Tribolium castaneum: one gene and its partners. The main gene of each other region encodes a partner of the protein of the gene in region 6 in a complex. Links are inferred from orthologs where the notes say so. Each region holds a gene or a part of one and is shown on either strand. Other genes may lie near its edges.

The links.
Region 1: tex (region 6) and thoc6 share a complex: the UniProt entries of both Homo sapiens proteins name them as parts of the transcription/export (TREX) complex. The link is inferred for Tribolium castaneum from reciprocal best matches to the Homo sapiens genes THOC3 and THOC6.
Region 2: tex (region 6) and Ref1 share a complex: the UniProt entries of both Homo sapiens proteins name them as parts of the transcription/export (TREX) complex. The link is inferred for Tribolium castaneum from reciprocal best matches to the Homo sapiens genes THOC3 and ALYREF.
Region 3: tex (region 6) and Hpr1 share a complex: the UniProt entries of both Homo sapiens proteins name them as parts of the transcription/export (TREX) complex. The link is inferred for Tribolium castaneum from reciprocal best matches to the Homo sapiens genes THOC3 and THOC1.
Region 4: tex (region 6) and thoc7 share a complex: the UniProt entries of both Homo sapiens proteins name them as parts of the transcription/export (TREX) complex. The link is inferred for Tribolium castaneum from reciprocal best matches to the Homo sapiens genes THOC3 and THOC7.
Region 5: the proteins of tex (region 6) and tho2 are in contact, whole or in part, in a cryo-EM structure (PDB 7ZNL), measured with the Homo sapiens proteins. The link is inferred for Tribolium castaneum from reciprocal best matches to the Homo sapiens genes THOC3 and THOC2. Residues at the interface, in NP_115737.1 of Homo sapiens: Asp193, Met196, Ile208, Val217, Gln218, Asn221, Ala222, Pro224, Ser225, Ala244, Asp245, Ala246, Leu247, Ser249, Trp251, Asp252, Asp254, Glu255, Leu256, Val257, Cys258, Val259, Cys261, Ser263, Leu265, Asp266, Pro268; in NP_001075019.1 of Homo sapiens: Tyr395, Arg396, Pro401, Lys402, Gly403, Ala404, Lys405, Gly406, Ser407, Pro446, Ile447, Ala450, Arg454, Cys500, Asn501, Ala502, Cys503, Met504, Glu506, Pro563, Arg566, Gln567, Lys570, His573, Tyr603, Leu604, Thr605.
Region 7: tex (region 6) and thoc5 share a complex: the UniProt entries of both Homo sapiens proteins name them as parts of the transcription/export (TREX) complex. The link is inferred for Tribolium castaneum from reciprocal best matches to the Homo sapiens genes THOC3 and THOC5.

Annotation. Positions count from the first base shown.
Region 1 is NC_087395.1:25,800,898-25,803,903, forward strand, and holds thoc6 (THO complex subunit 6), read left to right. Parts: upstream 1-1,166; 5' UTR 1,167-1,347; coding exon 1,348-1,460; intron 1,461-1,506; coding exon 1,507-1,896; intron 1,897-1,941; coding exon 1,942-2,104; intron 2,105-2,153; coding exon 2,154-2,474; 3' UTR 2,475-2,506; downstream 2,507-3,006. Other genes in the region: DNA oxidative demethylase ALKBH2, read right to left, coding at 935-950; protein rhomboid, read left to right, coding at 1-30, 83-403, 451-786; uncharacterized protein LOC103314375, read right to left, coding at 2,788-3,006. UniProt on the Homo sapiens protein: Component of the THO subcomplex of the TREX complex which is thought to couple mRNA transcription, processing and nuclear export, and which specifically associates with spliced mRNA and not with unspliced pre-mRNA.
Region 2 is NC_087395.1:19,979,840-19,982,796, reverse strand, and holds Ref1 (THO complex subunit 4), read left to right. Parts: upstream 1-1,217; 5' UTR 1,218-1,329; coding exon 1,330-1,512; intron 1,513-1,617; coding exon 1,618-2,041; intron 2,042-2,116; coding exon 2,117-2,214; 3' UTR 2,215-2,457; downstream 2,458-2,957. UniProt on the Homo sapiens protein: Functions as an mRNA export adapter; component of the transcription/export (TREX) complex which is thought to couple mRNA transcription, processing and nuclear export, and specifically associates with spliced mRNA and not with unspliced pre-mRNA.
Region 3 is NC_087399.1:4,612,862-4,617,134, reverse strand, and holds Hpr1 (THO complex subunit 1), read left to right. Parts: upstream 1-1,473; 5' UTR 1,474-1,575; coding exon 1,576-1,614; intron 1,615-1,661; coding exon 1,662-2,333; intron 2,334-2,379; coding exon 2,380-2,603; intron 2,604-2,651; coding exon 2,652-3,666; coding exon of another isoform or gene 3,667-3,788; 3' UTR 3,789-3,814; downstream 3,815-4,273. Other genes in the region: rRNA N6-adenosine-methyltransferase ZCCHC4, read right to left, coding at 3,663-3,788, 3,834-4,068, 4,114-4,273. UniProt on the Homo sapiens protein: Component of the THO subcomplex of the TREX complex which is thought to couple mRNA transcription, processing and nuclear export, and which specifically associates with spliced mRNA and not with unspliced pre-mRNA.
Region 4 is NC_087397.1:9,556,705-9,559,455, forward strand, and holds thoc7 (THO complex subunit 7 homolog), read left to right. Parts: upstream 1-1,302; 5' UTR 1,303-1,423; coding exon 1,424-1,460; intron 1,461-1,513; coding exon 1,514-2,127; 3' UTR 2,128-2,248; downstream 2,249-2,751. Other genes in the region: alpha-ketoglutarate-dependent dioxygenase alkB homolog 6, read right to left, coding at 2,249-2,751. UniProt on the Homo sapiens protein: Component of the THO subcomplex of the TREX complex which is thought to couple mRNA transcription, processing and nuclear export, and which specifically associates with spliced mRNA and not with unspliced pre-mRNA.
Region 5 is NC_087402.1:8,544,871-8,549,169, reverse strand, and holds the start of tho2 (THO complex subunit 2), read left to right. Parts: upstream 1-1,499; 5' UTR 1,500-1,592; coding exon 1,593-1,654; intron 1,655-1,836; coding exon 1,837-2,002; intron 2,003-2,051; coding exon 2,052-2,186; intron 2,187-2,237; coding exon 2,238-2,353; intron 2,354-2,880; coding exon 2,881-3,268; intron 3,269-3,317; coding exon 3,318-3,637; intron 3,638-3,687; coding exon 3,688-4,299. Other genes in the region: serine palmitoyltransferase 2, read right to left, coding at 787-840, 894-947, 1,077-1,313. UniProt on the Homo sapiens protein: Component of the THO subcomplex of the TREX complex which is thought to couple mRNA transcription, processing and nuclear export, and which specifically associates with spliced mRNA and not with unspliced pre-mRNA.
Region 6 is NC_087394.1:25,132,906-25,136,069, forward strand, and holds tex (THO complex subunit 3), read left to right. Parts: upstream 1-1,336; 5' UTR 1,337-1,405; intron 1,406-1,456; 5' UTR 1,457-1,527; coding exon 1,528-1,707; intron 1,708-1,759; coding exon 1,760-2,283; intron 2,284-2,336; coding exon 2,337-2,595; 3' UTR 2,596-2,664; downstream 2,665-3,164. UniProt on the Homo sapiens protein: Component of the THO subcomplex of the TREX complex which is thought to couple mRNA transcription, processing and nuclear export, and which specifically associates with spliced mRNA and not with unspliced pre-mRNA.
Region 7 is NC_087399.1:3,176,526-3,180,673, forward strand, and holds the start of thoc5 (THO complex subunit 5 homolog), read left to right. Parts: upstream 1-1,348; 5' UTR 1,349-1,447; coding exon 1,448-1,531; intron 1,532-1,582; coding exon 1,583-1,720; intron 1,721-1,772; coding exon 1,773-1,987; intron 1,988-2,035; coding exon 2,036-2,120; intron 2,121-2,166; coding exon 2,167-2,839; intron 2,840-3,161; coding exon 3,162-3,662; intron 3,663-3,711; coding exon 3,712-3,827; intron 3,828-3,875; coding exon 3,876-4,039; intron 4,040-4,085; coding exon 4,086-4,148. UniProt on the Homo sapiens protein: Component of the THO subcomplex of the TREX complex which is thought to couple mRNA transcription, processing and nuclear export, and which specifically associates with spliced mRNA and not with unspliced pre-mRNA.

The DNA of each region.
Region 1 (3,006 bases), on a different chromosome or scaffold from region 6:
TTCGGTATTTTGTCAGTCAGTGTTTTAGAGGTAAACCAGATTTTTGCATTATTTTTAGCTAATGTTTATGGTAATTCACCAGATAATCTTCTACGCTGCCTCGGATGAAAAAACCCAAAAACTGCTCCGCTTCGAACCGCACAAACTGACCGAAATTTGGCGATTCGTCACCTACATGCTTTTGCACGAAGACTGGATCCACCTGACTCTCAATATTTTCATGCAAGTGCTTTTCGCCTATTTTTTAGAAGCGCGACACGGAAGCGTGCGGATTCTTGTTTTGTACGTGACCGGGGGAATCACCGGAGTCTTGGGAGCGGCCTGTTTTCACCCCGACTTGGTCATTGGGGCCTCCGGGGGCGTGTATGCGCTTTTAATTTCGCACATTTCCGATATTTTTCTAGTAGGTATAAAGCGAGCGAGAAACAACATTTTTGTAATTTTTTTCAGAACTTTGAAACCTTGAATTACAAAATCTACAGATCTGCGTGTATCGGAATAATCGTCATTTTCGACATTATCTACAACGTGTTACATGCCAATTTTAAAAAGGAGCCTTTGATATCGTGGGGGGCCCACATGATCGGGGGCCTCGCAGGCCTGTTTTTGGGTCTAGTGCTCTTCAAGCAAAAACCGTCAATTGCACGCACACGGAGATTAGTTTTATTTTTGGTGGGTTTATTACTTTACGTAATTTTATTGATCTCGCTTGTAATAATAACCGTTCAGATTAAAAAATGTACTCCGAAGGATGCCATACGCAAGCGGTATGTTTATTTTTGCTGATATTTTTTTTATAACGAGTGTTTGGCTATAAATGTGCGGTAGCAAAGTAAAGCGTGAAATTACACAACTTATAGATGTTTGCGGCTATTTTTAGACGTTGGTTTTGTAAAAAAGTGAAAAATAAACGATTAAACAAACTGCTGCTTACTTGGTTGCACGCTCATCACAACACCACTAGCTCAACTGAGATTTTTTTAACGTTTTTAACACTTAAATCTGCGTTTTCTCGTTCTTTTTTTATATCTATACAAATATGTGTACGTTTTAAGGTATATTTTTTACGTTTGTTTTAGAGTTTATAGTATAATATGTTTAATTATGACATAAAAAAAACATAAATAAAGTTAGGTATGCAACTAACTTAACCGCGTTGCATGTTAAGTTGCCTGTATTAAGTCGATTGAGGTTATATTGTTTAATGTTTGGGGCTGTATTTATGTTAAATACACGTTTGCGCCCTTTGTAATCGTATAATTGGTAATAAAACCAGACTTTGTACAGTAATATTGCCTATTAAACGTGCGTTTAATTCACAAAAAGTTATTTTTTCTTAACCTCAAAATGGTGAACAAGTTGAATAAATCGTTCTATAACACTGTTTTGAGCCAGACTTTCACCCCGTGTGGCAACTATCTCGTCGTAGGTGACATTTACGGCACAATTTCGGTCTTCCAGTAAGTATTAAGTAACTTCCAGCAGCCCCCTGAACCCCAGTTCCAGCCTTTCCAAGCTAACAAACCAAGGATCTTCGATCACAAAAGAAGACCAACTGCCCAAAAACGCATTCACGATTAAAGAAGACGTCCAAATCAACAGTTTATTGACCATGAAAGCGTTCCTTGTTGTGGGGACAGTTGGCGAGATTTTGGGGTACTCCTGGAAGAACGTCAAAACGAGCAAAAAACCCTCCTGCTCGTGGACAATTGAAATCCCGAACTCCAAAGACAGTTTCGACAAACCTGACGTTAATTGTTTAGTGTTTGAGCCCGAAAATAATTTATTATTTGCCGCCTGTGGCGATAATAATGTTTACGTTTTCAACATCGAGACACGAAAAGAAGTGCGGTGTTTTAAAGGGCACAAGAATTACGTTCACTGCATCAATTTCTGGTAAGTGATTACAGGAACCTGTACTTTGGTCACATGGCATTTCAGTAACAATAAACTGGTTTCGGGGGGCGAAGACGGGCTTGTGCTGCTATGGGATGTGAGAGGAGGCCCCCCAGTGAGCAAAATCGAGCCCCACAGTAGGGATAAAGTGGCCAGGGTGGAGCTGGGGCCCTGGATAGGGGGCGTTGGGATTAACGATGATTGGCTGGTATGTCAGCAATTTTGGGCGAAGTGGCCCCCCTTAAATGATTTTTTAGTTGTGCGGCGGCGGCCCCCGACTGTCTTTATGGCACTTGCGCTCCCTGAATATCGCCACAGTGTTCCCCATTGACGATAAAGGGATTCATGTGGCGGAGGTCTACCAAGACAGGATTTTCGCAGGGGGGCGCTCTAATTTATTCTACCAAATGAGTTTTAACGGGGACATTATCACGGAAATTCCGACGTCTCCTGTGACCACGTACAGTGCGGTGCATCAGGATGAGCCCTTCCAGACTTTGTGCATTGCGGGGTCGAGCCCCAAAATCGACGTTTGTAGCAACTTTATCTACAAAAATTTGCAACTATCTCTGTATTAAGTCTTTAGTAAAATAATAAACCATAAATAATTCGTCCAGAATTTGAATTTGACAGCTGTCATTGATGCTCTTTAGGTTAGGATAAGGTACCGTTAAAGAGTCAAAAATCGCTCGAATGTGACCCCAAATCGTTTATAACCCTTATTATTTTTTTAAGAACAATTAAGTTACAGTATGGCCAAGTTTGAGTGCTCAAATTGGCGTATTATTGTGTGAAATCGCAAATTTCATATTTAAGTTGGCAGGACTGTATTAAAAGACAATTTAAACTGTTTGAAATAAATTTTTAATAAATAATTTGTACAACTTTTATTTACAAAAATCCGTGTCCGGCTATAACCGCCGGTATGAACCCCTCCTCTCCCTCCTTGTTGCGCACCCAGAACCACCCCGGCACATGGGTACCCTGGAGTACCACAACGTCGCCTTTCTGCACCTGAAGGGCATTTTTTTCGGTGCCAAAGTAGTCACTGTTGATGACTAGGAGTGTTTGTCGTTGGATTTTGCCACGTTTTGAGGATGCCAAAGCGCT
Region 2 (2,957 bases), on a different chromosome or scaffold from region 6:
CAACCGATCCTTTAAATTATTATGCTGAGATCTTTAATCTCAGTGAATGTATTTTTGTATATAACCCAATAAAACTATAAAATCAAAAATATGTTAGGATCATCTGGTGCTTTACAGTTTTCTCTGTGCATGTGATTTTTTTCAGGATTATTCTACAATTCCTTACAATAAATATTAATTAATTAAAAAAATCAATATAATAATTAATTAACTAAATTTATAGTCTTAGGGACTAGTTACTGTACAAAGCCAAATAAAATTTAATTCAGGATTAAACTTCAGTGGTGGAGAACTTACGGATAAAACGAACTAGTTTTCCGTTCATAACGAACTTTTCACAGAATTTTGAGAAATATGTCGGGGTTGATAGTAAGTATTTAATATAATAGAGAAGTGTTAACTGATGAACAAATTATTAACTAACTAAAAATAAATATTTTTTGTGTTTTGACATCTAATTACTGTGTAATTAACTACTTAATCCAAACTTTTATTATTTTTTGGGATATTAGAGGTTGAAACTTTCACTTCAGCGTCTAAAAATTAATCAGAAACGCAATATCAACTAGGAAATTGGGATTGCGTCTTTTGAGTACTTTTCCCAAAGTTTATATGACTAACAGACGGTGATTTGAGCAAACGAGCGTATGCGAGTTACATAATATACACCCGAGAACTTTAAACGTTTTCGCGTGAGTGTTTGTTTTGTTGGAATTTTTAAATTAAATTAATATTTTTTTATTACATTTTTTAAATTTCTTTTAAATTTAAACGTGTTCACATTTGATTTTTTTTACTTTTAATGGATCAAATAAAGAAAGTCTAACATTACACAATATTTCAATTCTGCCAAAGATTCTTCAAACACTAAAATGTGTTAATGAGTCAATATAAATAAACATCTGTTTTGTATTGACAATATTTTAACATACATTAGGTAGAAGAACAAAATTTCATTTACAAATACCTACCTACATAAACTGGTAGAACAAAGTTTGAAAAAAATTGAATGTATAGGGAACCAATAATACAGCGGTGTTTTTACATTGGTGTAAATAGGTTACCTATTTCATAAACATAAAAATAAGTTTTTATTCTTTGTTTCTGTATTATGCTGAAAATGCAAAAAATTGCCTAATACATGCGGTCGTATTTTTTTTTGGTAAAATCCGGGCAGGTTCCTGTGTTGCCGACAGCGCAGTGACGTGGCGCATGCGCACAGCGTCTGTCGTTCATTTTGTACGCCATTTTGTCGTTGGTTGTGTGCGTTGCCGCCGGGTGTAGAAAAAGTGAATTTCTCAGTCAAATCAGCGTACAAAATCAGTAAAAATGGTCGACACAATTGAAATGAGTTTAGATGAGATAATAAAATCCAAGCCCCGGCGCGGCGGCCGTCGCGGAGGTCGCGGCGGAACCCGCGGGGGTGGCGCGCCAAGACGCGGCACGTTCCGAAGAGCCGGCGGCGTCCAAAGGGGCCGAGGACGCGGAGGAATAACGCGCCAGTACACCCGGGTAATTGTTTCTAACTATGTTTATACTTAAGCTGCCCCGCGATGGAAGCGGCTAGCGTGCATCCAGCCGGAGAGCCGGAATTTACCCCCATCCATGTTTGTTTAGGGAGATGTGAACAGTGCTTGGAAGCACGATCTGTTCGAGGGCTACGGCCCGCGTAAAGTGGCCGCGGCTCGGGCCGTTGTGCAGTCCAATGTGGGCCCCACTAAGCTCATGGTGGGCAATTTAGACTTTGCGGTCTCCGACTCGGATATTCAGGAATTGTTCGCCGAGTTTGGGCCGCTAAAGAGCGCCTCGGTGCACTATGACCGCTCGGGGCGGTCGCTCGGCACCGCTGATGTGATTTTCGAAAGGCGCACCGACGCTATTAAGGCCATGAAGCAGTACAACGGAGTGCCTCTCGACGGACGCGCCATGAACATTCAAATCATCACGTCGGAGATTCCGTCGCCGGTCAGGAGGCCCACGGGAGAGAGGAAGTTCCAAAGCAGAAGAGGGGCTGCACCTGCCAAGGGACGACCTAACAGAGGTACAATTACTTGACCAGCGGCGGCGACGCCTCCAACAGCCGGATTTTTCAACTAAACAAATGTTTGTTTGCCAGGTCGTGGAGGAGGACGAAGTTTCAGAAATCAAAAGAAACAACCGACAGCTGAAGAACTCGACGCTGAATTAGACGCCTACACCAAGGAGATGAAATAAAATAAGTGCTATTAATATCAGAGACGCTCAACGCGCCACTTTTTGTGACTTGTGTTTAGTTCTTTCGTATTTTTATTTTGTATTTTGATTGTAACATCGAGCCTTACATTTTATAAAAAATAACCACTAAAGTACGAGGATTACGTATGCGGTTCGTTTTTTCCACAACTAAATCTAGTGTTAGGCTGTTTTCTCTTGTTAATGTAAATTGTATTGATAGGAATAAATAAGAATTAAGTGTGACTTGTCGTTTCATTAGAAATTTTTTTTATTTATACATAAAACTGCATCAGCCAAATGTATCACATGACGTTAAGACCGAGTTGTATAAAAAATTAATCGCCTTCAATCTTGATTTAAAACCATAATAAATCTTGTAACAGTTGTCGCTAAAGGCACGTTGACACGGATCGATTTTAGTCGTTTATTTCAAGTTGAACAATAAAACTTCAACAAAAATCATCGTCAGAATCTTTGTTGTGTCTTAAGTGGATCAAGTTTTTTACGATGATTTCCATTAAAAATTTTCATCTTTAATTGAACAACTAAAGTGGGTCCGTGAGAACTTGCGTTTAGGGTTTATATTACTAAATATACGACAAAACAAATTACAAAAAGTACATCCAATCGAAGCGAGTGCACTCAACGTAATTTTCATCAATAAAGAATACTAAAAGAAAATAATAATTTATTAAGCAACAGTGTAAGATTAATAATTATAGTAACTGAGCTGTCTTGTGGCT
Region 3 (4,273 bases), on a different chromosome or scaffold from region 6:
GAAACCAAAAAAATGTTTATTTGCATTAAATTTTGAGCAGCCACTTTCATTCATTGAAATTAAAGACAAAATTATTACGTGGCAATTAATTATTTGAGTGTTTTATTTTATTTATAGTTACTGTATTTAAAATGTGTCACTCAAAATATCACTTTTCAACACCGCATTTAAAGATTTTAATTGCAATTAAGTTTTATGAAATTATTGGTTTGAGAAATAAATAAATACGACACAGCAATAAAATACACCTACCTTCATATCGCTTCCACGTTGGCTACCGTTTGTAGCATTAAAAAAAAATAATAATAATATTGAAACCAAAAAAATGTTTATTTGCATTAAATTTTGAGCAAGCCACTTTCATTCATTGAAATTAAAGACAAAATTATTACGTGGCAATTAATTATTTGAGTGTTTGATTATAATTTTATTTACTGTATTTAAAATGTGTCACTCAAACGCGATCACTAGCCACCGAATTGAAAATTTAAACCGGAAAATTTAGATTTGCTTGAACACACGTCCGTTCGCGACAACGGCAAGTAACAAACTGAATAAATTGAACGAAACCGCACAATACACAATAATTTAAATAAACCGACTCACCTCGCTTCGCCTCGCCTCCCGCTCCCGCTCCCGATCTGACCCGTACCACTGCTCGCTGTCGACTGAACCGCCCTCGCCGCCTGCGCCGCACACCTAACCTCGGATGTGACGTCATCACACGTCTAAAACAGGTCATAACCAGAAACATTCACTGTCCAAATCCGTCAAATTTAGAAACATTCATACACAGAATTATTCAAAATAGAACAGTATTGATCTAGAAAAATTAATTATGACAAATGTATTTGTCTATAAACGTCTAAAATTATAAAAGTTTCGCATGCAGTTAATGGAAAAATAAAAATGCATGTTTATATTTAAACAGAAACTGGCAATGTGAAATTTTAGTGCGAAAATTAGTGGTAGAGCTCGGAAACTCTGTAAACGACCACGATAGGCGGAGCCAATGCGTACTTCATCGAGTGAGGAGATTGAGCAGTGGCGTAGCAAAAAACCATTCTATGATCAAGAAGGGTTTGAGATTCATAATTTGTAGTAGTTAAAATTTCCTCTATTCAATAATTGCAAGATGAAATAGTAAAAATCATATCTAATGCTAATACACGTTGATTTCCTAGAAATACAAAGCAGAGAGGTCGAATAAATAAAAATACACAATGAGTAAAGAGTAAAAACGCGTTTATTGCAAAAAATGTTTCTACTGGTATCTTTACTATAACTGGTAATATTGAAATGTTAAACTTTAAGACGAATTCCCTACACATGTAAGTACACGCCACGCCACTGTTTTCTGCCAACACCCCTAATTTAAAGATTGGACTCGTCCGAGACGAGTTTTCGTATCTGCGCACTCCTACCACCGTGGACGATCTGTCATTTCGCGGACTCTAACATTATTTTTGACCTTTGACAGTTGTTTACAAGACGATTCCGGTCGCTTATTCAAGTATTTCACACGAAATTGAGCGTTTTTCACGTTGGGGGCCCTCCAAGCGTTGCATTTAAGCAATGGGGGGCAAATTCGAGTCGTTACGGGTCGAATACCAGGTGGGCCCCGACATAACCTCAAACGCCACTTCTAACCCGGTTTTTAGGACGTTTTACGCAAATCTTTCAAGACCAAAACCACCGATTTGATCGAAACTAAAGCCAAACACTTGTCGAAGTCCGCCATCGACCTTAAGGCCCCTCTGGACCAGGCGTTCCGCGACGTCTTACTCGAACTCCTTGAAAAGGAAGTCAACGTCTCAGTCTTACGCGAGTTGGTCGATTTTAGCGTCCTAACATGTCGCAAGGAACTGAGCAACCCCACAATGCCAGTGATGCTCCTTTCGGACATTTTTGACGCCTTAACGCTGGACGCCTGTCAGGAAATGTTCCTCTACGTAGAGAACAATGTCGAAGTGTGGAAAGAGAACTTGTTTTTCAGTTGTTGCAAAAATAATTTACTCAGGTTGTGTAACGACTTATTGAGGCGGTTATCTCGGTCCACGGCGACCGTTTTTTGCGGCCGAATTCTCCTCTTTTTGGCCAAGTTTTTCCCGTTTTCTGAACGTTCAGGTTTGAATATTGTGAGCGAATTTAATTTGGAAAACACGACAGAGTATGGCACGGACTCGAGCCAGGAAAAGGGGGGCGACGTTGACGGCGACGAAAAGAAAAACGTGATCGATTTCACGTTTTATTGCAAGTTTTGGTCGCTCCAGGATTTTTTCCGGAACCCCAACCAGTTGTACACTAAAGTGCAATGGAAACTGTTTTGCACCGTAATTATTTTTGCGCATTTTAACCGATTTTTATTATTTTTTTTAGTACGCCACGAGTGTCTTTAACACGTTCCAAGGCCTCAAGCTTGAACACGTGGAAAATAACGGGAGCTATTGTGACGAAAGTAAAAATAAAATGTACTTTTCCAAGTACCTGACGAGCCAAAAATTGCTCGACTTGCAACTGTACGACGTCAATTTTCGGCGCGCCGTCCTGTTGCAGTTTTTAATTTTATTCCAGTACCTTTCATCATCCGTAAAATTTAAATCGTGAGTCGGTTTCTTTAAACTAGACGCACCTTTAATTTATTTTTTTAGCGAAAGTTTCGAGTTAAAGTCGGACCAAAAAGAGTGGATCCAATCAAGCACCGAAAAAGTCTACAGTTTGTTACGCGAGACTCCTCCAGACGGTAAACGATTTGCCGAAATCGCCTCAAATATTCTAAGTCGGGAGGAGTATTGGAACGCTTGGAAGAACGACGGTTGTCCCGAACTGAAAAAATCGGTGGTTCCCACGGAAAGCCCCGACAAGCGCCGAACCGAAGAGCGCCCTCTCTTAGGCGACATCATTAAACAGGCCTCCAGTGAGGGCAAATACTACATGGGAAGCACCGAACTGACCAAACTGTGGAACCTATGCCCCGATAACTTGGAGGCTTGTAAAGGCCGAGAGCGCGATTTTCTCCCCACACTTGAGGATTATTTCGCCGATGCCATCGCCCAAATCGAGTCACCTGGCGCAGTCAAAGACGAAGACAATTTACTGAAAGATGGGAATTACGGGTGGCGGGCTTTGAGACTCTTGGCTAAGCGCAGCCCCCACTTTTTCACCTACAGTACTGTGATTATGAACCCCCTGTCTTCGTATTTGGAGATGATGGTCAAGAAAATAGCGCATGATAAGCCAGGTCGCGTGACCGAAAATTCGCAAGAGTCGCAACAAAACGACGCCGAGGAAGAAAATTTGTTTAAGGACACGCAAGTTGATGAAAACACCGAAGACATCAAACCGTCCGAAACGGAGGAATTTATGGACGATAAGAACGCGCGAGTCGAGCATAAATTAAACCCGAACCAGTTGCAACTCTTCAGCGAGAAAGTGGCCCCCAATTGGAAAAAACTAGCCAGCAAGTTGGGCTTCAAAACTGACGAAATCCAGTTCTTCAGTATGGAAAATGAGAAAGAGGTGGACCAGGCCCGTAATATGCTACAACTGTGGTTCGATGACGACGAAGATGCCACTTTGGACAACTTCTTGTACATTTTGGAAGGGTTGGAGATGGAGGAGGCGGCGGAAATTGTCCGAAATGAAATCAATTCGATGGATTCCTAACTGTATTTAACTCGTTTCGCCCTATTTTTACTTTTCAATTTGCGTTTCATATGTAATTGTTTGTGATCAACCTTGGGACAGTCCCGTTTTTTGTGCCCCGGTTGTTTACAGTGGAAACAATCCTTTAATAAAATTATTAAACCTTGAATTGGGAGTTTGAGACTGACCTGAGTAAAGACCAAGTCGCCGCATTTGTGGTCCGGTTGGCAGCACCGACCACATTTTTCGCAGTGCTGCCAACTCGGTTTAACGCACCTTGCACACATGGGACAGTGGGTGTACGTCCGGCCGTCTTTCGAGGTGCATTTCTGGCAAATGGGGCAGTGTTTGTTTTCGTTTGAAACCCATTTGTTGCACTCTTGGCAAAATTTGTAGCCTTCATTCGCCGGAAGGACTATTTTACTACAATTTTTTGTCCCGAAAAGTTCGTAAAAATCGTCGGCTTACCTCGGGTCCACGTTCGTGAAAATTCGGACGGGTGACCCAAATTTCCGCGCCTTAGCGCCGTCTTGAAACAAAGGATGGTTGTCATAGTCGACTTTATAATCGAGCATGGAATAGTCGGGGAGGCTGTTTAGTATTTGCGGTTCCATAAAGTAGGGGAATA
Region 4 (2,751 bases), on a different chromosome or scaffold from region 6:
GAGTAATTGGAGATTCGTCGACAAAATAAGAAAAAAGTGAACTTTGAACTGCTAAGATCATAATTTTCGACGGATTTTTGAAAATATGATTACGGGATTTAATTTATTGATAACTAAAGTATCCACGTTTATTAAAAATGTGATTTAAATAATGAATCAAGTAGTAATAAAATAATAATAAACAAGGAAAGTACACCGTTATCAGTCATGTTTACTTTGGTGTACTTTACCCTTTATTAATTTTTTCTCATTAGACACGTGAAATCACCTAGAGTAAATATAATCATCAGGTGATCATTCCGTTAGTACCTGTACCGATAGAAACCAGATATTAAATATCTTGCAATGCTTCAAGTTTGATATAATTGATAAAATATAAATAAAACAATATTTTAAAGCTTAATTAAATATGAAACTACGAGTTACGTGTCTAAAAAGTAAAAACTATTTAGACTGTTTATTGTAAGATTTACCGAAAATTCATCTTATTTTTTTGTTTTGAATTTAAATTGTGATGACCTTTCTAGACCTTTCTGTTTTTTGTCAAATGCACATCGCGTATGAAATACTCTAATAGCGATAAAAAATTTTGAAATATGTCTATCCAAAATAATAATAAATAAATTACCCAAATAACAAACATCATTAAAATTGAAATTAGAAACTTTTTGCTTTTTTGTGAAAACAGAAAATAGCACAAGAAATAACTTGTGGTAGCAAAAACTGGAGCAGATTCACTTAAAATGTAAAAATCTTTAATACATAGTTTATTTTTTGTTGAATTTTTTGAGGTATTATTGTGTTTACAAAAACGGCCAAAAAATAGCTTGCGGGAGCAAAAAATTGCACAAAAAAAGCTTTCAGGAGCAAAAACAACTCAAAACAAATAGGTTGCGACAAAAAAAATGCACAAAAAATTGCTTACAGGAGCAAAAAACGACACAAAAATTTGCTTTTTTGTATTTCCGGGACTAAAGTTGGTACTTTAGAAGCTTAAAGTTCGAGGGCTGTCGTTATGCAACGAGCGTATGCGAGACACCTAGACACCTGAGAACTTTAAGCGTTTTTGCATAAATTATTATTCAAAATTTTTTGTTTTTGTTTAAATTTAAAACACGTTGCTATGGAAAGCGTGTTTTAAAATAGTGAAAACATTCGTAGCCGATGACAAAATCACCAAAATACGTATTATTTAATAAAATAAATTATAGTCATATTTTTAAATGATTTACGCTTTATAAGCTTTTGTTATATGCAACCATTAAAACACTTATCTCAACATGTCCTCTAATTGCTATTTCTAGTAATTTTTGGTTTAGACTTTCGATGCAACTGTTGGCAAGTGCCAACATTTGACAATTTGTGTCATAACCTCAAAAAATACAAATTTTTCGGCGTCCACAGTGCAAACAAATCCGCCTTAATGAAACAAAAGGACAAACGTGGTACCATGTCGGATGGTAAATACTTCCCTTATAAAATTACTAGTGTGTCCAAACAGTAAAACTTCTAGAGGACATTATCAAAAGAAAGTTACTCATAGACGGTGACGGAACCGGCGACGATCGCAGGCTCAACGTAATAGCAAAAACTCTTCGAAAATGGGCAAATTCCACCGAAGACTCCCCCTTAGAGAACCAAGCAACCCACGACAAACTACTAGCACAATTAAGCCTTTGTGAATACTCAGTCAGGAGATCCCAACTCCTCACAAGAACCACATCGCGTCAGCTTGAAAACTACAAAAAAATTTACGACAAATTTGAACAGCAAATCAGCGAAGTAAAAGACTCAATCAAACAAAACAAAGACAACTTAGTACAAGCCAAAATATGGAAACAAAACCACATGATGTACGATTTGTTGGCACAAAGTATTGCCGAACAGCCAGCACGCAAGGAAACAAACGAACGCCTTTCGAACTTACAAGCGGAACTGAAAGAGTTGCACAAGGAAAAGGAGCTGCTGGAGCAGAAACTGGACATGAGGAGAAAACAATTTCACGTGCTGGTGTCCAGCGCCAGCAAATTACAAGCAATGTTGGAGGAGTCAAACGAATATTGCCATAACGACAGTCTACTTGAGGATGTGGCGGACAGCACAGGCCCTGAACCCATGTCTGAATAATTTAAGTTGGTAAAAGTGACAATTACCACGGTTACTTAATTTATGTTAGAAAATCTGACAGTTACCATGGTTACATGTCATCAGCTATGTTATTTTAGGCGAATAAAAGCAAGTACAAAAATTATTTGAATAGTTTTATTTTAAGCACCTTAGTCACATTTCTAATGGTTAGAGAAACTCTCGTGTCTCTTTTGACTTTATCGCCAATGGCGTATTGTTTCTCACAATTTAGTAAATTTGCACAGCCTTCATCAATAACATCAGTTTCAATTTCTCTAATGGAATGGAGGTATTTAGCGTACATGTCGTCTTTAATTACAACTAGACTACACCTTTCGAGAAGTAATTGGCAAACTTTAGCACGACTTTCGTTATTTTCTAAAAACTCTAATACTGTATGAGAGCCACACGAAATGGTGGCAATAGTGGGATAAAACAGTGGCCCATCAGTGTGTGGCATTATGCCTTGGCCGGGAAGATATTCGTTGATTAATACTTGATTCGGTTTGTTTCCCTCAAAAACGTTCAATTGAGCGACTTTTTCCATGTATTTCGTCAACCAGTTTGGTATTGCTTCCGGAATCATGCCTTTCTCGTGGGGCACGCCCCCGTAGTCTTGCAGTC
Region 5 (4,299 bases), on a different chromosome or scaffold from region 6:
CACAAGTGAAATGATAGTTCCTTCCGTTATCAAACTTGGTGTTACCAACCAGGCATAATTAAAATAAAAAATAACGAGTATTTTCGCCACCTTCAAAACCTTGACTTTATTATTACATTATTAATTTCAAAACAGAGCTGTTAAAATTAATAAATTAAAAAGTACAATCTTGAGTGATAGTGCCGTGCGTAAATATTTACACGTACAGGAAATAAACTGTATGCACCTCGTTAAATAGAATTATTTGTTGATCTCAAGGAGGAATGTTTAACTACTGGCGCATGCAGATTCAAACTTTCCGAGCGCTTTTCTGGGTCAAATAATGAATCTGTGTGCACATGTTGAAAGAATTATCTCACAAAATAAAAGCTTTAGTGTTAACGACAAGGTTTAATGTGTGTTATTAGCCGTCTCATGGCCTGAACTACTGGAAAACTAACAATTATCGAATTTTACGTGTTTATACGTTGTAAACACATGGTAGAGATTATGTTTATGCAGCTAATAGATATTCTAATCAAGAATAAACAATTTGGTTTATTGAAAATAAATGCTTGGATTGTACTACGAAGGTGAAAGTAAATGAGTATATGCTGTAATATTTGTCCCGTCCTTATCTAAGAATTCGTGTTACTTAATCTGCAGATAAGGACGCCTCATCGCGTTCTCAGAAAATTTGAAAAAAATTTAAATGATATTGCGTTGCGTTGTTGGAATTTTTTGAGGAAAATAAACACTGCCGCGAGTAGCAATAAATAATTTCGACGGCGTCAAAATTAGACTCACGTTTTTTATTGGTCCCTTCATGTTTTTGGCGGTGCATTCCTCGTCAGACGATGCCTGCAAAATAATTACAGTGAGATTTAGAAAAATGTAGGCCAGTGTTTAATTACCAGCACATGTCCATTCTGCTCGGATCCTCTGTACACGTTCCTCTTATTGATGCACTGCAAGGATAATAAATTATTAATAATAAGGATCAATTTCATTTGGTCAGCACTAATGAAATGTTAATAGCTTGATGAGCCACCCAAAAAGCCGGAAAACGTGCCGAGTATCCACAAATAATTATTCACCGTATATCCATTTGCGTAGCCTCCGGAGTAGGGGCCGTATCCGTTCGAAATGACCTTTTGGTGTTTGGTATTTTCGAAATCTACCCCACTTAGTAGCTCTGTCACAGCATCACCTGCACCCTCTTCCATTCTCGCTTCTATACTGAGGATTTGAGGACGCATGCGTCCACATTTTACAAACGCAAATTTTTTGTTGGTTGATTGCGACTCGCGTGATACCGTGAGACAACCTTGCATTCAAAAACTTGCGGTCTTTCCGAATTTTCCCCAAATAACAGAAACTGAACAACCGTAAACTACATCCACTCGGACGTAAAACCGCAAGCAAAAAACGCAATTACTACATAATTCTCTACAAAAAAAATTTGATTGTTCTTAACCACAATTCCGAAAGCTTGACATTTTGCCCAAAATTTGGTGCTTTTTGCTCCAAGTTTCGAAAATCTGGGGTCTTTGGTTCGCTGTTGGCAACGCGTGGGCGCCCATGTTGGGAAAAATGACGCTTGGTTGCTAAAAATGGCAGGTGTTGTTAGTAACGATGTTTGGAAAAGTTGGGAAAAATCGGGAAAAACAGAGTTGTAAGTGCACATTTCACTGAAATAATGTGGTTAGGTTCATTTGCTCGAATTTTGCATCCGTTTCGTGTGTTAATACGTGTGGGAATTGCAAACACGAGTCAATGTCCACACGTTTGTGTATTGTTGATTTTGCGTTTAATTCTATAATGAGTGGTCAACGCTAAGGTTCCTGCTTATTTCAGTGTTAAAACATGCATGCAGTTGTTGAAAGATGACACCAAGTCCCCGGTTTTTGACAAAAATGGGAGAGTCTCAAGTCTCATAACCAACATAAATATGTTGATTGACAAAGGACTCAAAGGGCAGTTGAAAGTGGAGGCTGTTGTTTCAACGCTCCAGGAGCTTGTTGTAAGCTTGTTGTAGTCAAGAGTCACAAAAACTCAAGTTTTTTTTGCAGTCTTTACATCCTGATGTTCCTTCGGTAATTTTAGACGTTTTAAGTATCACAGACTCTTCTTGCATACCTGATAGCAGTAACGACGATTCAAAAGAAAGGAACAATTTGTGTTTTATCATAAAAGAATGTGAAAAGGTAACGTCTTAGCCAAATGTTAGAAGCTGATCTAATTTTCAGAAAATTTAGTTGCTTTCAGACCAATTGTTGAAGGAACGGTTAGAAATAGACACGCTACAAGAAGTTGGCATCTTGAAAAACAAAACGTTTTATTCAAAGTTTATTAAAGTGAAGACAAAACTATAGTAAGTATAATTCTAAGTTTGAACCGCACAACGTAGGGAAAATTAATTTTGGAGCACAAAATTAGTTTTCCAATGACGTGCTAGAGCAAGTGCATTAAGACTGTCTCAAATAAGAGAAATATTTGAGATTTTGGATGATGCTAACAAGTTACAAAAAAACAAAAGTTTAATAGGTGATTGTTCATTGTTAAAGAAAAGATAGTTTATATATTTTTATTACACAATGTTATAATGAGTTTGGCACTGCAATTACATAACACATTTAAAAAAAAATGACACTTTGATTAAAAATTTGTCTTTATATTATCTATCGTAAATTTTAGTTTAATTTATGATTTGTCAAGTTGGACTAGTAATAAATTCTACGAAAACAATTTACATTAAATTACGACAAATACGAGTAATAAGTGCAAATATTATAATGCGATGTCTGCGCTGTTATCGACTACATATTAACACATTTTATTATTTTTCTCAAAAACGGTACATTTACAAAAAAATCACCTATAAGTGAATTTTATTTTTAGCTACAAACAGCGCAAATTTAACTTATTTCGCGAGGAATGTGAGGGTTTCGCAAAATTACAAACGGAATTGAACCAAGAGTTTGGCGAAAATACCAGTCATGAGGACGTCCTAGACATAGTTCAATCATTAATTGGTTGCTTCAACCTCGACCCAAACCGAGTCCTTGATATAATTCTGGAGAGTTTTGAGAATAAACCAAAAGACGCGCGAATTTTCGTCCCTCTAATATGCTCGTATATGAAAGACCCGAAAATCGTGAGTGAAGTTCTAGCATCGAAATTCACTTTTTTGCGAAGTAGCGAAACAAATGTTCCTCGATCTCTATACGTATTAACGGCGCAGTTGTTACAACATAACATTATATCACTGGACGACATTTATCTTTGGGTAATGAAACGATTTTTTCAAGACTTGTTGGCTCATGGTTGATTTATAGTTAACACCTGAGGATAAAATCATGTTTAAAGAGTGTGATAAAGCGATGAAAGATGCAAAAGAATACGTGCGTAAGCTACAAGTGATCTCGATAAATAATAAGGAGAAGGAAGAAACGCCCGAAGAGCCGGAAAATCTCATGGAAAAATTTAACGCGAACCAAAAGTTGGGGCTTTGCGAGGCGTTGCTTTCAGTCGGTGATTGGAACAATGCGAAAAATTTGATAAATCGTCTGCCTGATCACTACGCACTGTCATTCCAACCGATCGCGTTAGCACTGTGCAAATTGTTGCATTACATCGTTGAACCTGTTTATAGAGAGTAAGTTAAGTGTAGGGTTAGCTGTGAGGTTTCCACATTGGTTGTTATAGATTTTGTAAGTTGGGACCAAAAATCAAGGGAAAACCTATCCCGCGCCATGAAAATCCCCTCAGCCCGAAACAAGCAACCTCATTTTTGGAACTTCGAGATCATGCCATTCCTATGTTGATTACTTTAGGAGCTTCGCTCCGTTTTGATCCCGTTTTGATGTACAAAGTGATAAGAATTTCCAAAGCGGCGTTAAATTCCTATGGAGTAGAGTCGTCAAAATCGCCTTGTCCGTCTGGTGATACGTTATATTACGATATTTTGACTTTGTTGGACACGACAATACTGTCGTCACTCTCGTACATGGATTGCAATTGTTGCATCGCAGAGGAAGTGTGGACGGTCCTCAAACTCTACCCATATCAGAATAGGTACTGTCTTTACAGCCGGTGGAAAAACGAGACGTATTCTTTATACCCCGACTTGTTACGAAAGCGCGGAGATTCCGAAAAACAAATCAAAAATATCATGAAACGAGTCAGTAAGGAAAACATCAAACCTGTAGGCCGCCTCATTGGCAAACTCACCCACTGTTCACCGGGATTTCTGTTCGATTACATTTTACTCCAAATTCAAGTTTATAGCAATTTGATTCACCCAGTGGTCGACTCTTT
Region 6 (3,164 bases):
GGAAGTGTCTGGGCAAACACACATGCCCAACCTGCAAAGAGTACGCCTCAGCGATGGATGAACTTGACGCTTCTACACTTTTCACGCACTTCAAGGGACACACAGAAAAATACGGTGGCACGGGTACTACTTTTGGAAAACTTTTAATGCCTGCAAAACCTTTTGTAGATTTCGTCGAGACATTGGAAAAGGCCCTGATGAAAAACATTCGTTGGATTGCCTGCACAGCGAATGTCCAAGATCAACTCCTTCAGGTTCTGAAAGAAGTTCAGTTTTCACACCCGTGCAGTAATTTTCCTGTTGAATATTTGTTAAGACTTTTTGGCAGGATGCGATGTTATTACATCCTCAAATATGCCAACAGGAACTTTACAGACTCGTCGGTGAAAAATCGAAAACTGATCATTCTTTCACATCGTTGAACACAGAGAGAAGACCATTTTTACAGTTTTTAATGATAAGTATTGGTATAATTTGTGTACGTAATCATTGTTTCTTTATTTTTAGTGTAGTCGGAAAAGAATGGAGTGGAAAACCAACACCAAAGACAAGTTTTCATACATTTAACATTTTTATATTACCTAATTCAAAAATTTGAGATCAACAAAGGCGAGATAGAATTTCAGTTTTTTAAAGATAAGTATTAAGTCTAATTTTTTTACACACCGGTATTATTTATTCATTTTTAGCAGAAAGCAGCAGAAAACAACAGCAATGAACCAGATTCATCTACAACATAAAATCGTAACTCCAAAAAGATAAGTTTTCGTTCTACTTACACTTTTATGTTTAATTATAAAAATTTCAGGTCAACAAGTTACAGTTTTTGTTATTAGACCTTTCCTTCATTAAAGATGAGTATTCATTCGTAACACTTTTTTACATAATCAATGTTCCTTTTTAGAAAGGCGATCAAATTAAAGCTAGGGAATACAATGAAAACAGTTTCGACCATCAAAATTGTGATCAAATTTAAGATGGACTCAATTTTACCATATTTGTACTGGAAATTGTTTTAAACGCAACAGAGTTCATTTTCTTTGTTCTAGTAATGTAATTAAACACTTATAACACACTTTGTAATAATAATAATATAACAATTTTAAGGTTACGTAATAGATTTTACTATCATAGTAAACACGTAGTAAAAATTTAGGGGAATGAGTTGGCAATACTGATTAGTACCAACAATTTCACCAGAAAGGCGACTCCAGAATCATTCATAAATACAGCTTTGCTGGAAGCCGCCAATCACATTCGACCACCGAGGTCATTGCGTCGCCATCTGCAATTTCATTCATGGATAGACGAGTGTCACATCTGCTAGTGATCTGTGGTTTTACTATGTGTATTGTTGGTTGTCTAACCACCAATTTTAAGGTTATGTTGTGTTTTGTTTTTACCGGTGATTATAAATTTCTCAATTTTAATTATTTAAACCATTTTGCTAATACAGATTTAAATAATTACAATGGTTTGTGACCACTAGAGATACGCTTTTAATAATTCCAAGACCTATATCGAAACATGTATCAAGACAAAATTGAGGAGCTCCAAAACTACTTTAAGAGCCACTGTAAAATAAAAGAGTATTCGGGGCACTCTTCCAAAGTCCATTCTGTTGGTTGGAGTTGCGATGGTAAACGTCTGGCATCTGGTTCTTTCGATAAATCCGTCTGTATCTACACTTTGGACAGAGATCGTTTGGTAGAGTCCCTAACTTGGATAAAAATTCAAAATTTGCATTGACAATTTTCAGAATAAGGAAATAACATTCAAGGGACACGGTGGTTCAGTGGACCAACTCTGTTGGCACCAGTCTCACCCAGACTTATTAAGTACAGCAAGTGGTGATAAGTCTGTTAGAATTTGGGACACTCGAGTCCAGAAATGTGTTGCCACAATCAATACAAAAGGGGAGAATATCAACATTACGTGGTCGCCTAACGGCAACGCGATCGCAGTCGGGAACAAGGAAGATTTGGTCACTTTTATCGACGCCAGGACGCACAAAATCGAAGCTGAAGAACAGTTCAATTTTGAAGTGAACGAAATCTCATGGAATAACACAAGCGACTTGTTCTTTCTAACGAACGGACAAGGCTGTGTCCACATTTTGAGCTATCCCGAACTAAAAAGGCAACACATTTTGAAGGCGCATCCAGGGACTTGTATTTGTATAGAGTTTGACCCTACGGGGAAATACTTTGCAACGGGTAGTGCCGATGCTTTGGTTTCCTTGTGGGATATTAACGAGTTGGCGTGTCAGAGAGTGTTTACAAGGTGGAGAAACCGCTCTTTTGCAACCTTTGTCGGTAAATCTTACTTTATTGTAGAATGGATTGGCCCGTGAGGACGATTTCGTTTAGTTACGACGGTCAGTTGCTAGCTTCAGCTTCAGAAGATTTAATCATAGATATTGGATTTGTTGAAACTGGTGATAAGATTGCGGATATTTCGGTAGAAGCGGCTACTTTTACGGTAGCTTGGCACCCCTCAATGTACTTTTTGGCGTACGCTTGTGACGATAAGGATGCGTATGATAGGAAACGGGACGCTGGGAGTTTGAAAGTTTGGGGGTTTCCGTCTGACTGAAACTATGTGTTTCAAAATATTCATTATTTTGTAATGTGCATTTCAAATAAATTACTTCAATAAAAATAATAGGTTGTTTAGGTACAATTTTCCTTGACGAAAAAGGGTTTGCGTCTTATTTAAGGCAAAGGGAGACGTCGTAGTGTGTTTCTAAGTCAACAGATGGTGCGGACTTTATTTTTCTATTATCCTCTTATCTTTTCACATCATTCGAACAAAGAATACAGAGTTGTACATAGAATCTAAAGAACCTTAATAAAATTTGCACCAACGAAATACTTTTTTATTTTTTTAAATTTATTTAAAAAAAGACCATAAATAAGGCGTAAGAAAATGACTGACCGAATTATCGGCTATGAAGAGGTGGCAATAGTATTGAATTTTTTAATCCAGTTCATTTAATAAATACTGTATCCATATATTCAGTACTTAGTAGAATTTTGCAACAACGCATTTGCATTTTTTTTTTTAGTTTTTACTTATTAAATAGTTTTCTGCAGCCTACTTTACAAATCTTTATTATCTTGTCACATTTTTGGGTAATGACAAAGCAACAATTAAAAATTACT
Region 7 (4,148 bases), on a different chromosome or scaffold from region 6:
ATTTTTTCAACTTATTTTTCAATAAAAATCGTTTTTTTTTTTAAAATATCCCTTGGTTTTCCACTGTAAAAAAACAGGATTCAGTGACGAATTATATAGTAAATTTTCGCATTTAATCATTTTTAAAATCCTCTTGAAAATATCAGTTTATAATCGAATATAGTGCGGTAAAACTTTTATTAAAATAGTGGAGTGTTAAGAGCGTAACGAGTTTGGCAACAAAACTGTTTACCTAAATGAAATTCAAAGCAAAACACAAAAACACTTCATTTATGTTTGCGCAGTTTTAATAACGTTTAGCGGTGTTTTATGCCTCGAAACAATTACGAAATAATTAATCTAATTTTTTTATTTTTAATAACAAAGCTTGCAAATTTATATTTTTTGGGGGAAATACATCAAAGCTAGATGGAGCCACTTCTGGCGGCGCATTCAAATGGCGAATAAATCCCCATGCCGTATTTTACTTTGTCCCAATTGTCTCAGAACGTTTTAAAGTCGGCGTTTTCTTTTTGCGGCATAAACCGTCTGTCTAGAAAATTAAGAAATACCTCGGTGAACTAATTCGCGTAAAGTCGTGCGGAAAGCTTTTCGTTCTCTTGTATAATGTGTTTTCGGACAGGCGATAAAATTTTATCGTCGTCCAGCAATATTTCCTACGTGTGATCCTATGTAGTAGTTCTGACGCGACACCTTTTTTATCATCTTGAGAACCCGTCCACATCCTCGATAACCAATACAAGAGAAACGTGCCACTGCAAACCTGGTCCTTAGCAAAATGGATGAGTAGTCAAGAACATCCAAGTCCTATCTTAACACTGCTCGATTTTATACCTGGAGAATTTTACGAGCGCTCGCGTGTAAACAACACTTGGAAGGAGATTGAAAAATACTACAAAAAACTATTAAATTACGAAGTTTACACGATTAGAATAGCTCCTGTTTATTGGGCCAAGTAATTATTCGGGGACCGATAATTGCTTTAATTCGGGCGGAAAGCGGCAAGAAGTGCGCGATGTTTAATTAAAGCAGGTAAAAACGCGTTCAAATTTCGCGCCATTCACAATTCACCCATATTTAGTGAAATAATCACGAAAATCGCCCTTAATACAATAGTGATTACCATTTACAGTCTTGATATTAAAAAGTGCGATTTTATTTTTTTTAATGTTTTTACACGAACGACAAGTCCGGTACTCTGAATGATTATATAACGACCCAAATGTTACATAATCCGATTACGTAACAACTAATAATTGAAATTATCCAAATTATTTATAATATAAGTCGCAATGTTTGGATTTTGATTTAAAAACACAGAAATTAATTCGTTTAAACCAAGATGTGGTGTCCTGAAACAAAATGGCGTCTGTTGTCTGTCAGTTTGCGCATTTCTAACCTCAAATTTTTTGTCGGCTTGTTTACATAATCTTTTTTGCTTAAAAAAATGGTTAAAGAGTCAAGTAGTTTGAAAAAAAAGCGCAAAAGTGGGACTAGTGCCGACAATGAGGCCGAAATCGACATTTATAAAGTAATTACGCCTCCCTAATTTTGGTTATCACATTTATTGATTTTTTTGCAGAAATCGGTCGAATTTGAGGAGAAAGAGGCCCTCAATCGACCGAACGATACCGACGCTCAGATTTACTTCAACACGTGCAAAGAAATTCGGCATTTATTCGCCGAAATAAGTGAACTGAAAATGAAGAGTGGGTCTGATGTAAATTGGAATTTTGTCGCTTTTTTGTATATTTTTTGGGTGTGCTTTGTAGGTCAGGGCTAAAATTACGGAAAAAACCACCGAAGTGTGTCTATTATTGGTGCTTTTGAAAAAACTGAACCGCATGGAGAAGGTGCGTTTGGTTTTTCCAAAAGAACAATTGGCTGCGGAAAAACAAAAAGTGGACAGTATTAATTTACAATATCAGAACTTGTTGTACGAGGCTAACCATCTGATGTCGGAATATCGCAAATGTTTCCAGTTCAAGTAACGAAAACCCCCTTTTTGTGTAAACCCCCCAAAAATTTCTTTCAGGTCTAAAGACGAGCACATCGAGCTGGTCCCCGTTGAGGAGTTCCTCGCCGAAGCGCCGAAAAATTTAACGACAAAATTCAAAAAAGTTGGTTTAATTTTTTTAATTTCAAAAACTTTAAAAAAAATTTTAGTTTGATGAAACCGACGAAATGGCGAAGCACGAGCTGCGGCTCGCGCGCCTCGAGTGGGAGCTCCAGCAGCGTATTCATTTGGCCGACATGTGCAAAAAACTTGAAGAGGAGAAGAAAAAACTAGAGGGGGATATTGCCGAACGTCGCAATAAATTGGATAAATTGGGGCCCCTCTTGTCTTCGGTCATGGAGGCCACGAAACCGGTGCAGGAGCACCTGGGGCTCCACATTGACAAGATCCAGGCTGAACACAAGCTTGCCTCGCTTCTACCCAACCCCCTTTACTTGTTTTATGCCAATATTGACGCCTACAGACAGGTGAACGACTCGGGGATGAGTGTGGAGATTATGGGGGACCAGGAGGAGGCTAGTCAATGGAAGGAGTTGGAGTTGGCAGAGGATGAAGAAGAGGAGGAGGAGGACATGGAACCGGAAGCTGAGATACAGGAGGTGGAGGAAATTGTCGAAACGAAGAAACGGCGTCACCGGAAGTCGGTACATGTTGATCCACTTGAGGAGAAAAAACGCAAGTTGTTACAAGTTCACCCGCTTTCTGTACAAGTTACTGTCACTACTAAAGACGGTCCTTCAATTAAAATTCGACTAAGTTATTACGCAAAATTGGAAATCGTCACTGTATCTTCAAGCGTCAATATTCCGAGCAATATTACAGGTACTTGACCCACTATCTACAAAAATCCTCTTTTAGACAAAAAAAAACGGATAGTTACAGGTATTTTGTGAATGATAAGGAAAAACAACATAAACTACACCTTTTTTACTTGGTTTGTTTTCCGTCTCTATTTACAATTGAGTCATGTCCTGTTATTATCGGAATATGCTGAAATTTTGCATACTCACGTAATATCCGTGAGCGTGAGCAGCAAAAAATTCTTCTCGCTTTTAAAGGGAAAATCATACTTTCTTACTTTTTTACTATAATGGAGGAAAAAATGCAAATTTTTTTTAGTGACCCCCGAGTGTCTTTCTTACAGGAAACGCAGCTCGTGAGGTCTTATCAAACGAAAGCGTCCTCGTGGAGCTGGTGGAGGGCGACTTCGGGCTGGACAGCCCCAACCCGTGCACCCCTTACCAACTGAAAAAAGTCGGCTTGGGGTCCTTCCAAAGCCTCGTCCCAGAGCTTGGCTACGTCTACACGTGGGCGCAAAAAATGTGCGGCATTGATTTTTTGAATAAAATGTCCGGTTCGGATCAACTGAGCCAAACTAACGTCGAGTCGGTCATGAAAACAATAAAAAAGCGCCTAAAGTCGCGGTATGCCTTGGCGAAACAATTGGAGGAGTTGGAGCGGAATGTGATTCCTGTTTTGCCGGCTAGTGTCGATTTGCCGCGAACCACGATTTCGAGTCTTACGAAATGGTCATCAGGGACGTATCAAAGCTTTTGCGAGGCTAAATTTACGGAGGGTTTGCTAGAAGCTGAGTTAATTTCGCCGAATGATATTTTCTATAAAGCGACAATCACGCGTGATAAAGGTAAGTTTGGTGAGTCACGTGATTAATTAGTGTTTTTTTTGTATTTTAGCAAATTTGCAAGCTTTTGTTGTTATCAAGAACGATTATCCGTCAATTCCACCAATTTTTGCGCTTTGTTTGAACTATAACGGGACTAGACATTCGCAGAATGATGATAATATTCGGGTTTGTTGGTAATTTTGGGTTTTTGGGTTGGTCTCACTCGTTTTACAGGACATGGAACGGTCGATTAATGTCGATTGGAACCACGAATTTTCAAATGCAAATTGGCTTTTGTCGGCCCAGATTATGTCATTGTGTGTCGGACTGGACATTTATCTGGAAACGGAGGACCCTGGGACGTTTCAACAGAACACCATGTATATTAAATCGACTTGGTAGGGATTTTGAGTTTGTTTTTTGGGGGTAATTTTGGTTTTTCAGCGCCAGAAATAGGAGAAAGCCGTTCAAATTCAGGAATATTGGGGTTGGGGTCTACACCCAATG